Linked DNA regions of Danio rerio. The main gene of each other region encodes a partner of the protein of the gene in region 2 in a complex. Links are inferred from orthologs where the notes say so. Each region holds a gene or a part of one and is shown on either strand. Other genes may lie near its edges.

The links.
Region 1: smarcd1 (region 2) and actl6b share a complex: the UniProt entries of both Homo sapiens proteins name them as parts of the BAF complex. The link is inferred for Danio rerio from reciprocal best matches to the Homo sapiens genes SMARCD1 and ACTL6B.
Region 3: smarcd1 (region 2) and arid2 share a complex: the UniProt entries of both Homo sapiens proteins name them as parts of the SWI/SNF-B (PBAF) chromatin remodeling complex. The link is inferred for Danio rerio from reciprocal best matches to the Homo sapiens genes SMARCD1 and ARID2.

What each region holds. Positions count from the first base shown.
Region 1 is NC_133198.1:48,249,057-48,252,716, reverse strand, and holds part of actl6b (actin-like protein 6B), read left to right. Parts: intron 1-369; coding exon 370-467; intron 468-588; coding exon 589-683; intron 684-3,660. UniProt on the Homo sapiens protein: Involved in transcriptional activation and repression of select genes by chromatin remodeling (alteration of DNA-nucleosome topology).
Region 2 is NC_133197.1:7,410,376-7,414,035, reverse strand, and holds part of smarcd1 (SWI/SNF-related matrix-associated actin-dependent regulator of chromatin subfamily D member 1), read left to right. Parts: intron 1-2,395; coding exon 2,396-2,568; intron 2,569-2,672; coding exon 2,673-2,715; intron 2,716-2,959; coding exon 2,960-3,082; intron 3,083-3,199; coding exon 3,200-3,322; intron 3,323-3,576; exon of another isoform or gene 3,577-3,627; intron 3,628-3,660. UniProt on the Homo sapiens protein: Involved in transcriptional activation and repression of select genes by chromatin remodeling (alteration of DNA-nucleosome topology).
Region 3 is NC_133179.1:1,989,582-1,993,241, reverse strand, and holds part of arid2 (AT-rich interactive domain-containing protein 2), read left to right. Parts: intron 1-186; coding exon 187-437; intron 438-3,660. UniProt on the Homo sapiens protein: Involved in transcriptional activation and repression of select genes by chromatin remodeling (alteration of DNA-nucleosome topology). Required for the stability of the SWI/SNF chromatin remodeling complex SWI/SNF-B (PBAF).

The DNA.
Region 1 (3,660 bases), on a different chromosome or scaffold from region 2:
TCTTCATGTTTTCAATACTTTTCCCTGCAAAATTTCATTTTATTACACAGAACTTCATTTATAAAGTAATTATATTTGTTTTCTTTGCATATATGAAGATTTATTTGATTGTTTCCAACATCTAGGGAAAATTTCAAGTCAACGGCACCTTTAGAAATATGCTTTCTGAGAAAAATGGTGACGTGTTCAATACTTATTTCCCCCGCTGTATTTACTTTTATGTTCGACAGAAAAAAAACATCCTCAAACTAATTCATAACAAGTCAATGATTGACTTCAATGAAGTCCTGTCTGAGATTTGTATGACCTGAGCGATGCATTTGCAGTATATTCAAAGATTTTCTCACCTCCATCTCTCTTTTGTGACAGTGGAACTCGCGAGCCAAGAGGGAAAAACTCACAGAGCTCATATTTGAGCATTACAACATCCCCGCTTTCTTCCTGTGCAAAACAGCCGTGCTCACCGCGTATCCAATCAGAGCGCAGCACTCAGGGACGTCAGCCAATCACAGTGCAGTTGCTCATGTATTAAAGGCAGGCTGATGATGTCATGATGTTTGTACCTCACCTTAACCTGATCGACTGCAGCTTCGCCAACGGTCGAGCCACGGGCCTGGTGCTGGACAGCGGAGCCACGCACACCACCGCCATCCCTGTGCATGATGGGTACGTCCTGCAGCAAGGTAAAGACCAGAGTGTTCGTTACTTTAAGTCACAGAAACGACACATCACAACATATGGGGGATTCTAGAATTGAATCGTAATTTTACACAACAAAAAAAATCAATTTGTGTTGGGACCAGGCACGTGCACACATAGGGCTCAACCTGTGCAGTGCACATGCCCCTTTTAGTCTTGGATTGAAAGTGCCCTTCCAAAATGATCAAAAGTGCCCCCGCGACACCCCCCCTGCCCCCCACGCCCTTCAGTAGGCGCGACAACACCGCTCTTGAATACGCGCTTTCCAAACCCCTCCCCCCCGCTTTACAGTACGCATGGAACAACATCGCTGATCAGAATGCACACGACAACACCGCTCTTTAGTACTAGTACGACTACTACGACTACGACTACAACGACGGCGGCGGTGGCTGCGACAACAACAACTAACCAATTTGGCACCCTAGGTAAGATTTCAGGTGGCGCCCTGTCACATCGCAGTAATTTCACTGCTAGTGTACAGTCATAAGAAACTAAATAGCTTTTTGATCGACTACTACAAGCTGGGAAAACGTCAGATAAATATGCCAAGGCAATTAACGTTACTGCTGAATAGATCTAATGTTTACACATTTGCTTGAGGAAGAAATGATAGGGGTAGTCACATTACTATTACTATTTTCCATAACATCAATGCAATATTGACAATAAAATAAAAGGTTTAACCCATTAAAATTAATGGCCTATACAGAAATTAAATAAAGCTATAAAATCTACTTCACTTTAGATTGTATTTGCATATTATGGAGACCCAGAAGGGACGTAGTGGAGGAGATAAAAATTGGCATGGATATATACATTAGATGTCGCCTGGCCTATTGTTGTCTATTGGATGGAATGCGTCAATAGCGCCGCCATCTTGGTACAGGGTAGCGCTCCTTTGAAATGAATGCGGGACCAAGGTACAGTGGAGGGCTGTGGCCATCCAAAGCCAGAGATATACACATATACACATATATCTGTGATCGGGAGTTTTCCTGGATGTTAGTATGCAATTTTTTTTTTCTATTTACGAAAATTATAATTTTACATCACTTTTCTACATTGATGGATCAGTGACCGCACGGGCATTCCTGACAAAAAGCTTGTGTTCATGTGTACAGAAATGTACTATTCACCTTCCCTGTTAAATGTGATCTAATCATGTCCTGAAACACAGCTTCTCTCCTGCTTTCACTTCTCATACTGATGAAGGGAGCGATTCGCTTGTGAATGAACGACTCGTTCACTAGTCGACAATAATACAAGTGTTTGGCAGCGCAGCATCTCGTTGTCATATTTCTTTTGCATTGTTTGCTGATTTTATTCAACAAAACTAGCATAAGCCGAGTGTTTAGTGCGAGTTGGTGCTGCTTTGCCGTATGGTGAATGCAGTAAGTGACGGTATTATCATCGAAAACGTTACGTGATTAGCACAAAAGTTAATAACATACAAAAACAGAAAAAAAACTTAATCTCACCTATGAAATGTTCTGCCTTTGTGCTTTGTTTTCTTTGTTTGCTCGTTACTACACCCGTAGACAGCGCTAAAGTCCCGCATCTTCATGTAATAACACCGTCTTGACTAGTACGGTAGAATGACATTTGTCCTGGGAGCACTGTACCAATGTGGCGGCGCTATTGACGCATGCTCAGGGTCCCTATGCGATATCTAGTGTATATATCTATTAAAAATTGGTAGGGTGAAAAAAAATAATGGGTAGGAGAAAAAAAATGGGTGAAATAAAAAAAATGGGTGGGAAGAAAATATATATTTCTAAGTTTTTGCGTTCTCTCGCAAAGTTTTGCGTTATCTGGCAAAGATGTTTTGTGTTCCCTCAAACACTTCCTGTTCACTTCACTCACTTAAAGCCTCCTGTTTTTGACGAAATTCTCCCATATTTTACCATCCTATCCCACTTACATTACTCACTTGTGTGATAACAGAGATGTCACTTTAAATAGCGTGTATATAAGCTGATCTGGGATCAGTTTATTGTACGGAGCGCGTCTGTCAGTCAGCGCTGACATGCATTCACAGATTCAGAGGATGCATATGAAAGGCGACGATCGACCCACAGCTTTAATGTAAAGAGAGTGAATGCAGACATTTTAATATTAATTTGAGCGTGCTTTCAAGATTAAACATATATCAGAAATATGGGAAAATACTTAATGCTAGGATGATAGTGGAATAGGATGGTAAAATACGGGAGAATTTCGGCAAAAACGGGAGAGTTTACATGAATGAGAACAGGAAGTGTTTGTGGAGAAACAGTTTTGCGAGGGAACGCAAAACAAAAGCTTGAAAATGTGTTTTCCTATCACTCTGTTTTTTTCTCCAACCCAGTTTTTTTTCTTCCAACAAAAGCTACTATAGTTATTTAGTGAAGAGCAGCTAGTGAATCTCTCATTGTGTTTTGTTTGATAACAGAGGTGTTCATGTAAGAATGCACAGATCTATAATGAAGCATTCGACTACTTTAGTAACTGTTTGTGCTCGTTTAAGAGAAAATTAGTAGTGCTTAAAATAAAACACGCAGGACGGAGCAAAAAAAAAAAAAAACGAAAAAAATAAGCACTTTTCCGACGGTCCCTTACTGAGAACTCCTCTCAGCGTGAGCTCTCCCGGCTAAACGCAGATTGCGAGGGCTTAAACGAAGCAGTGGTCGTAATGTCAAGCGGGAAAAAAAAGAAAAAGACAGCTGTGAAACATAACCAGCTTTGTCTTTTTGTTGGAAACACACTTTAGATCTTTTTAGAGTAAGAGTTTTTTTGAGTTGTTGCCGTCTGTCACTGAATGTGTCAGAAATATCGAAAACAAAACCAACTTACCCCCGCTCATTTCTGGCGCCCCCTGGATGTACAGCGCCCTTAGCATTTGCCTATACTGCTTATGCCACGGGCCGGCCCTGGTTGGGACAGACAAAAAGTGAATGAGTTTGTACATACTTAAGTGGA
Region 2 (3,660 bases):
TTTTTTAACACCATTCCTAAAGTATTTGTAAAAAAATGTATTTTGTTTTTTATGACGACAGTATCTCCAGCAGAAAAAAAATCCATAGAATTTTTAAATTGTAAAGAAATCTGTGTTTTTGAAACTAATAAAGACAGCAGAAGTCAATTATTCATTTGGATTATTCATTCAGCCTGACATGTTTATGCTCAAAATATTATAAATCTTTCAAAAAATAAAATATAATGTTTTCAAATGGGGACTTTTTTTTTGTTTTTTTTAACCCAGGCATTTAAGAAGAACATATTTTAGAGCAGTAATCACAATACCGTGATACAGTGATATTTTTATCCAAGGTTATCATACTGTCAGAATCTTATACCAGCCCATGCCTATACTGTTGCTTGACATGAGATGTTTCTAAGTTTCAGTGACCGTCTGCACCAACATTCAGATGATCAGCAGCACTTGTTTTCTTAGTGATGAACACAACTGTTTGTGTGCTGATTTGTGACTAAATATCTGAGTTGTTCCAGGATTTAAAAATGAATGAGCAATCCCAGCATTATGGATGTGACATTTGCTGTAAAAACTAAAAACATAAATTCACAGAGAAATTATACGTTAACGTTATATTGAAATGTCTGTTTATATTTTCCAAAACAACTAACCACAGAGTTAAGAGATCAGAAAAATATTATTCTGTAAACATGTTTTGTACTTTAAATAAGGAAAATAAACATGCATTATGGATGTGACCAAAAAAGTCTGCGAGTTTACAGTATACAACATGCTTTTTAGAAATTCTGTGAATTAAACTGCAATACCCAAAATAAATAATGCTCATCAAATGGATGAGTTGCTCACTATAGAACAAAAATGATTGAGTTTATTTAATTTGACATTTTTGCATTTATGAGGGAAGAGCTTGGTTATGGATGTGACAAATATGAAATTGCCACTTGTATGACTTTGGTAATTTAAATGTAATAGTTGGAAAACATTGACTCTTGAAAACACAAGACATTTTTGAGCATTTTTAAATGACTTTAAAATACTTCCTTACACAAAAAAAAAACATAAAAAGTGGTTTTCCTGTATTGGTGAAAACTTATTTTTTCAATGGCAAGGTTGACGTTTGTATAGAATTGCTCAAATGTCAAACTCCACATTGCACAAAATATGTGGAGAATCTGTGGCCTCATCTTGCCTTCAAGGATGAATTAGGTCGCAGTTTGTGCTTGTGTACATCCTTCAGTGAAGCCTTGATTTCATTACTCTTCCATTTAGCAGGAAAACATTGGTATTTCATGTTCGTCCACAAGATATTTGTTTTGCATTCTCCTGTTGTTTGGACTGAGATTCAAGGGTATTTGCTGGTTCATTTAAAGTAATAGAGTTGAGGAATGATATAAGCATCTTTCTTTATAATTGATTTCGATTATTGTCTTAAAATGGATTGCTTGTGCTCTTTTTAAATGCCATTTTACAACATGACTAGATTTGAACATTCAGATCTTGATTTTTGCAATTAGAGGGGAACCAGAACAACACAACGTTTACCACAATTACATCATTAAAAAAAAACAAAGTATTACATTTTGTTTTGTCCGCCATTCAGGCAGTTGTTATTGAAGAATTATTTCCGACAGGCCTATCAGCAGCTTAATGCAAAGTGAAAGGCTTTTGTATAGCCCACAAGTCTAAATTCTGTGTAGAAAACTGTCTGGTTATACTTTATCCTGCTTATTACATGGCTGTTTCTCATAATGCATAAACAATTAAACACAAACCATTGTTCTGAGCTGACAGAAACAAAAATGGCCAAATAAAGCACACTCTAACCCAATGTTTCTCGACCACTTTCCTTGAAGACCACCAGCTCTGCACATTTTTCAAGTCTTCTTAGCTAAATTTACCTGATTCAGATCATCAGCTCATTAGCAGAGACTGATGACCTGTATTAGGTGTGATAAACAAATCAGACATCCAAAACATGCAGTGTTGGTGGGCCTCCAGGAATGTGGTTGAGAAACCTATATATTCAGTCACAAGATGGCACCAAACTATCCAAAACAATGATGAGAGCATATAAATATCGACGTCAACATATTCACTGATGGTCAAGATGAAGTAATACACTAGATGAGGCTGTGTTATTTGTTTAAACAGATGTTATCTCTGAATAACACACTTTGGAATGTCTTGAATGACCCAATCAAGTATTGCAAACAGCCATGTAATAAATTGTGATAAAATATATTTAAACTTGCTTAAATGTATGTGTATAACAATCGTGCTATGATTTATTTCTGCCATATGTTCCTAATGGAACTATAAGGGATGAATGTTTTATAATTGGTGCTTAAATACAGTGTTTCATCCGTTTGGATCATCTTTTGTTCCTTCTTTGCAGAGACCAGGAATGCCTCCAGCCAGTCGTATGACTCCTCAGGGACCCTCCATGGGGCCCCCAGGTTACGGGGCCAGTCCTGTTTCCCGCCCCGGCATGCCAGTAATGGACCCGTCCCGCAAACGTCCAGCGCCAAATCAGATACAGCAGGTTCAACAGCAAAATCGCAACCAACAGTAAGTCTAACTGATGGATTAAACCTGATGCTAATGTCAATATAACAGTAATCTTTTGAAATGCCTGATTAGATTCATTCTCATGCTGCTGTTTTGTGTTTTAGTGCCAAGAAGAAGAAAATGGCAGATAAAATACTACCTCAAAGAGTAAGTGGACGTGAAACTGTCCTCTTTGTTGTTATTTTCGTGTTGGAGTAGTGCAAGTATTCTGGATAAACTAATCCAAGGTTTAAACAAATGAATGGACTGGCATTGCAATGTTTTGCAAATGTTATTTTTATGTAATGTAGTTGGTTTGCCTTTGTTGCTGTTTTTCTTGCCCAATCAAGTTAAATGTTTAAAAAAAAACATTAAAATGCTGCAATTATTTAGATTTTCTGCTTTATTTCAGATCAGAGAGCTTGTCCCAGAGTCTCAGGCTTATATGGACCTGTTGGCGTTTGAGAGGAAGCTCGACCAGACCATCATGCGCAAACGACTTGATATTCAGGAAGCTCTCAAGAGACCCATTAAGGTAGTTTTCGATTTTTTGCCAACATTGAGTGCAGTTTGGTCATTTGTTCTCTTCTAGAGGACAAAATTGTGGTGGTTTATGTGCTTGAACAGCGTTTGATCTGTTTGTTCCGCGCAGCAAAAAAGAAAACTCCGAATATTTATCTCCAACACATTCAACCCTGCCAAGCCAGATGCAGAGGATGGCGAGGGAACTGTTGCATCTTGGGAGTTGCGTGTGGAGGGGCGGCTTCTTGAGGATGTGAGATTATCATTTCAATGGTTTCAAAAGGGTTTAGTTCACCCCAAAATGACCATTACCTCCTTTATTTTCTCTTGTGTGGATTTAAACCTTTTATTGTTAAACACAAAAGAAGATATATTAAAGAATGCTGTTTGCTGGCACCCAATGACTTCTATAGTAGACAAATAATGCTAAGGAAGCTAAGGGTTGTCAGGCACCAACATTTTTCAAAATGTCTTGTTCTGAACGAGTAAATGATGATTAATTGTTCATTTTTGGGTGAGCTATCCCATTAGGTCAAACCCCTTATCGTTTCTGTAGAAGTACACTATTTTTATTTGTAAAACTGAATTCTT
Region 3 (3,660 bases), on a different chromosome or scaffold from region 2:
TATTTGTGAGTTTTTTTTAATTTGGCTTTATTTGAAATAATTATAGTGAAATATGAAGTTGTTATTGAAGGTGTTATTATGTAATATGTTTTTATCTTCATTGATTTTGCCATAAAGCATCCATGGGGCAATAAATAAATGAACAAATCACCCTAGACATTTTTTAAAATCCATTTTTTCTTTCAGATGGATTGGAGCTGAGGGACATCTGCACTCCTCTCTTCCACCCGGCCCGTAACACCGGCATTGGGGACGTGGAGGGCCAGCGGGTGCTGCAGGTTGCGATGATCCTGAGGAATTTGTCCTTCGAGGAGGCAAACATTAAACTGCTGGCAGCTAATCGCACATGTCTGCGCTTCCTCTTACTGTGCGCTCACTGCACCTTCATCCAGCTGCGGCAGCTCGGCCTCGACACACTCGGAAACTTCGCCGGAGAGGTCAGAGTTCACTCTCTAAAAGATGCAAATAGCGTTGTCTGCAGTGTTGAAGAATTTTTGTTGTCTTGGTTTATGGATATCTGTTAGCTAGTGTGCTCAAAAATAGTGACAATTAGCATTAGAGAAAGTATAAAACTGATATACACATGCAGAGCTTGAAATTTGTCACTTCTGCCTAAATTGATTGGCGCTTTATTTGATTTTTTTCCACGTCACCTTATATTTTTGTTTAATTATTTGTTTATGGAACATTCTGATGCACTTAATTCACCACAAGAGGGCGTTCATTACAGTTATGTGACTAATATAAATTATTTATTCTTAATAATAATAATAATTCACTTCACACTTATTTTTGTTGTTGTTTTTTAATGACATTTTTACTGAAATAATGTATTCAATCAATCAAAACATAAATAAATTCTAGGTTTTTGTCTTAATTAAATTGAAGTGTAATTTACACAATTCACCACAGGAGGGCCACAAACTTACTTTTACAAATGTATATTACAGGTATAAATAGATTTCTTGGCGAATCAACGAGCTGTAATTTGGCAGATTTTTAATTTATCTTTGACATGGGACATTCTGATGCACAAAATTCACCACAAGAGGGCGTTCATTTAACTTATGTGACCTACATTTATATTTATTTATTAAATTGTTTAATTTATTCTTTATAATAAATTGATTGTCTATTGGAATTTTATAGTTCTGTTCACATATTTGTTGTTTTTTTTAATAACAGTAACCTTTTCACTGAAATAATAATGCAATAAAATCAATCAAATATGCTAGTTTGTCTAAATATACTAAAGTGTAATTCACACAATTCACCACAGGAGGGCGACAGACTTCCATTGTTTACAATTTATATTGCAATATAAGTATATATTTCTAGGCGACTTAATCAGAGGTATTTTGGCAGATTTTTAATGATTTGTTTATGGAACATTTTGATGCATATAATTCACCACAAGAGGGCACTTACTGAGATTATTTTAACATTGTAATTATTTTATTACATAATGTATTAATATTGTTAATAATAATTTAATTGTCTATTGAAACAGTGCAGCTCACACATTTTTTGCTGTTTATTAATAACAGTGACTTTTTCGCTAAAATAAAAATGTATTAACATCAGAATTGTGTATCACCACAGGAGGGCGCTCGACGTGTAAACTTATATTGTTTGTTATATTGAAGATTTAAAAATAGATATTTCTGTTAAAATTCAAGCATTTTTCTCATTTTTGTTCACTTTACAAACAACAAACCCAATATTATAATTGATTTACGTGACAACTGATACAATGCAATTGATGTAATTAATACGACTCACCACAGGAGGGCATTGTTTACATTGATTTAATATATACAGGGCTCGAAATTAACTTTTTTACTTGGTAGCGCCGGTGCTCCCAACTTCAAATATTTAGGAGCACCAAAATAAATTTAGGAGCACCAAAAAAACTTTAGGAGCACCACCAAAAATGAATGAGCACCGCTGCAAATTGCTTTTTAAGGGATTTATTGTATTTTAAAACAACATCAATAGGACTGACAAAAACCAGAAACAACTATTGAACTAATGCTGAGAAGACATTGATATTTGTGTGCAATAATTCCAAAATGAATGTCTAATAATTAGGCCATAGAATATTAGTGATGATGAAAATGACAATAATAGTAACAATGAATTACATTTCTCATTATGATACTGCCTTAAATGTGCATGAATGTAGGTTATCTGCTATACAAAGTCTGTTACTTTGTGAAAAATAAATGTATAGTTTGCATCAAACAAAAATGAAGCATTGCAGTAAGAAATATTGATTTTGTACTGCTGTTTTTATATGCATGTCAATTTAATAAATAATATTTCTGCTACAAAACAAACAAAAGATTATAATAAATCATATAATTCAATGATGAAAGCTGCAAAGCAGTCATCAGTAAATAAATAAAAAATAAAAATAATATAGCTACACCTCAAAAAAGAATAGACAAAAGAAAGTAAGTAAAGTCTCACTTCTATCACTCTTTAAAAGTTTTGGTTTCAGTTTGTGTCAATTTAAAGGTTCAGTCTGAGATGATCTTCATTTCTCTGTGTTAGTGGAAAAGCAGGCGAGTCAGCCGACCCAATTTATGAGCAGGCAGAGCAAGATTCTTGCGGTGACATCCGGCGCAATATCGCTCTTTGTTATGAGCCGCAGTTTCAGTGTAAACTTAGTAAAGGCGAGCTTCTTTGGCGATGAAATGTGCAGTATTAGATTTGACTTTTAGCGGACATTTGCGCTGAACACGCAGTGAATGCGACGCATGGAGATTCGGGCACCTTCTCCAAGAAGCGCGTACTCGATTGATCTCAGCTGGTGGATCATTATTCACCACGTGACGTGTCATGATCGCTCTCATCTGCGCCTCAACTTTAGGTGGGGTTTGCAAACCTGTGTGCTTTAAGTTTTCACTCTTCAGCCTTTTGCATTTCCCGTGCTCATAAAAGCTCCTTCCCTGTCATCTGACAGCGGAATACCTTGAGTGATTGACAGCTAATATGAACCAATATAGCGGCAGGGAAGAGCGATTCAGCACGTTTTTACAAAAAATCAAAACAGGTCGCACTACAACCATTATCTGTAGTCGCACTAATGCGCCAAAATATATTAAATGGTCGCAATTTCGAGCCCTGATATACATAGCCTATTCAATTATTCTTGAATAGATGACGTTGATTTAATATATATAGTCTATCTATTCATGTTTTTTAAATAAAAGTTTTCACTTCAGTAGTAATAATAATAATTACTATAAATCATCTCATACTTCAGTTTCTCATCAAATCTTCTGACCAATCAAATGGTCTTTAGTATCTGACATGCCCCGCTTTTTTCATTTGTTGCACTTGATCACATTGGCAGAGCTGTGATAAAACAAAACGCTATTGGCTGTTTTATAAAAATGGGAGGAGCTAGTCTGTCTCACTCTCTCTTCATTATTCAGTTGAAAATACGTCAAACATCGAATAACAATATGTACATTTCACAGGACCTTTAACAAAAAGCCCAAAAGATTTTTTTGATAACACTTTACTTGAAGGCGTGTTTATAAGACTGTCCCTAATTTAAATACGACTCGTGATCCAAAGACGACTTGCCATATATAAACAACGGCTCCAACTAAATTATTTATTAACATAAGATTACCAGCAAAACAATAC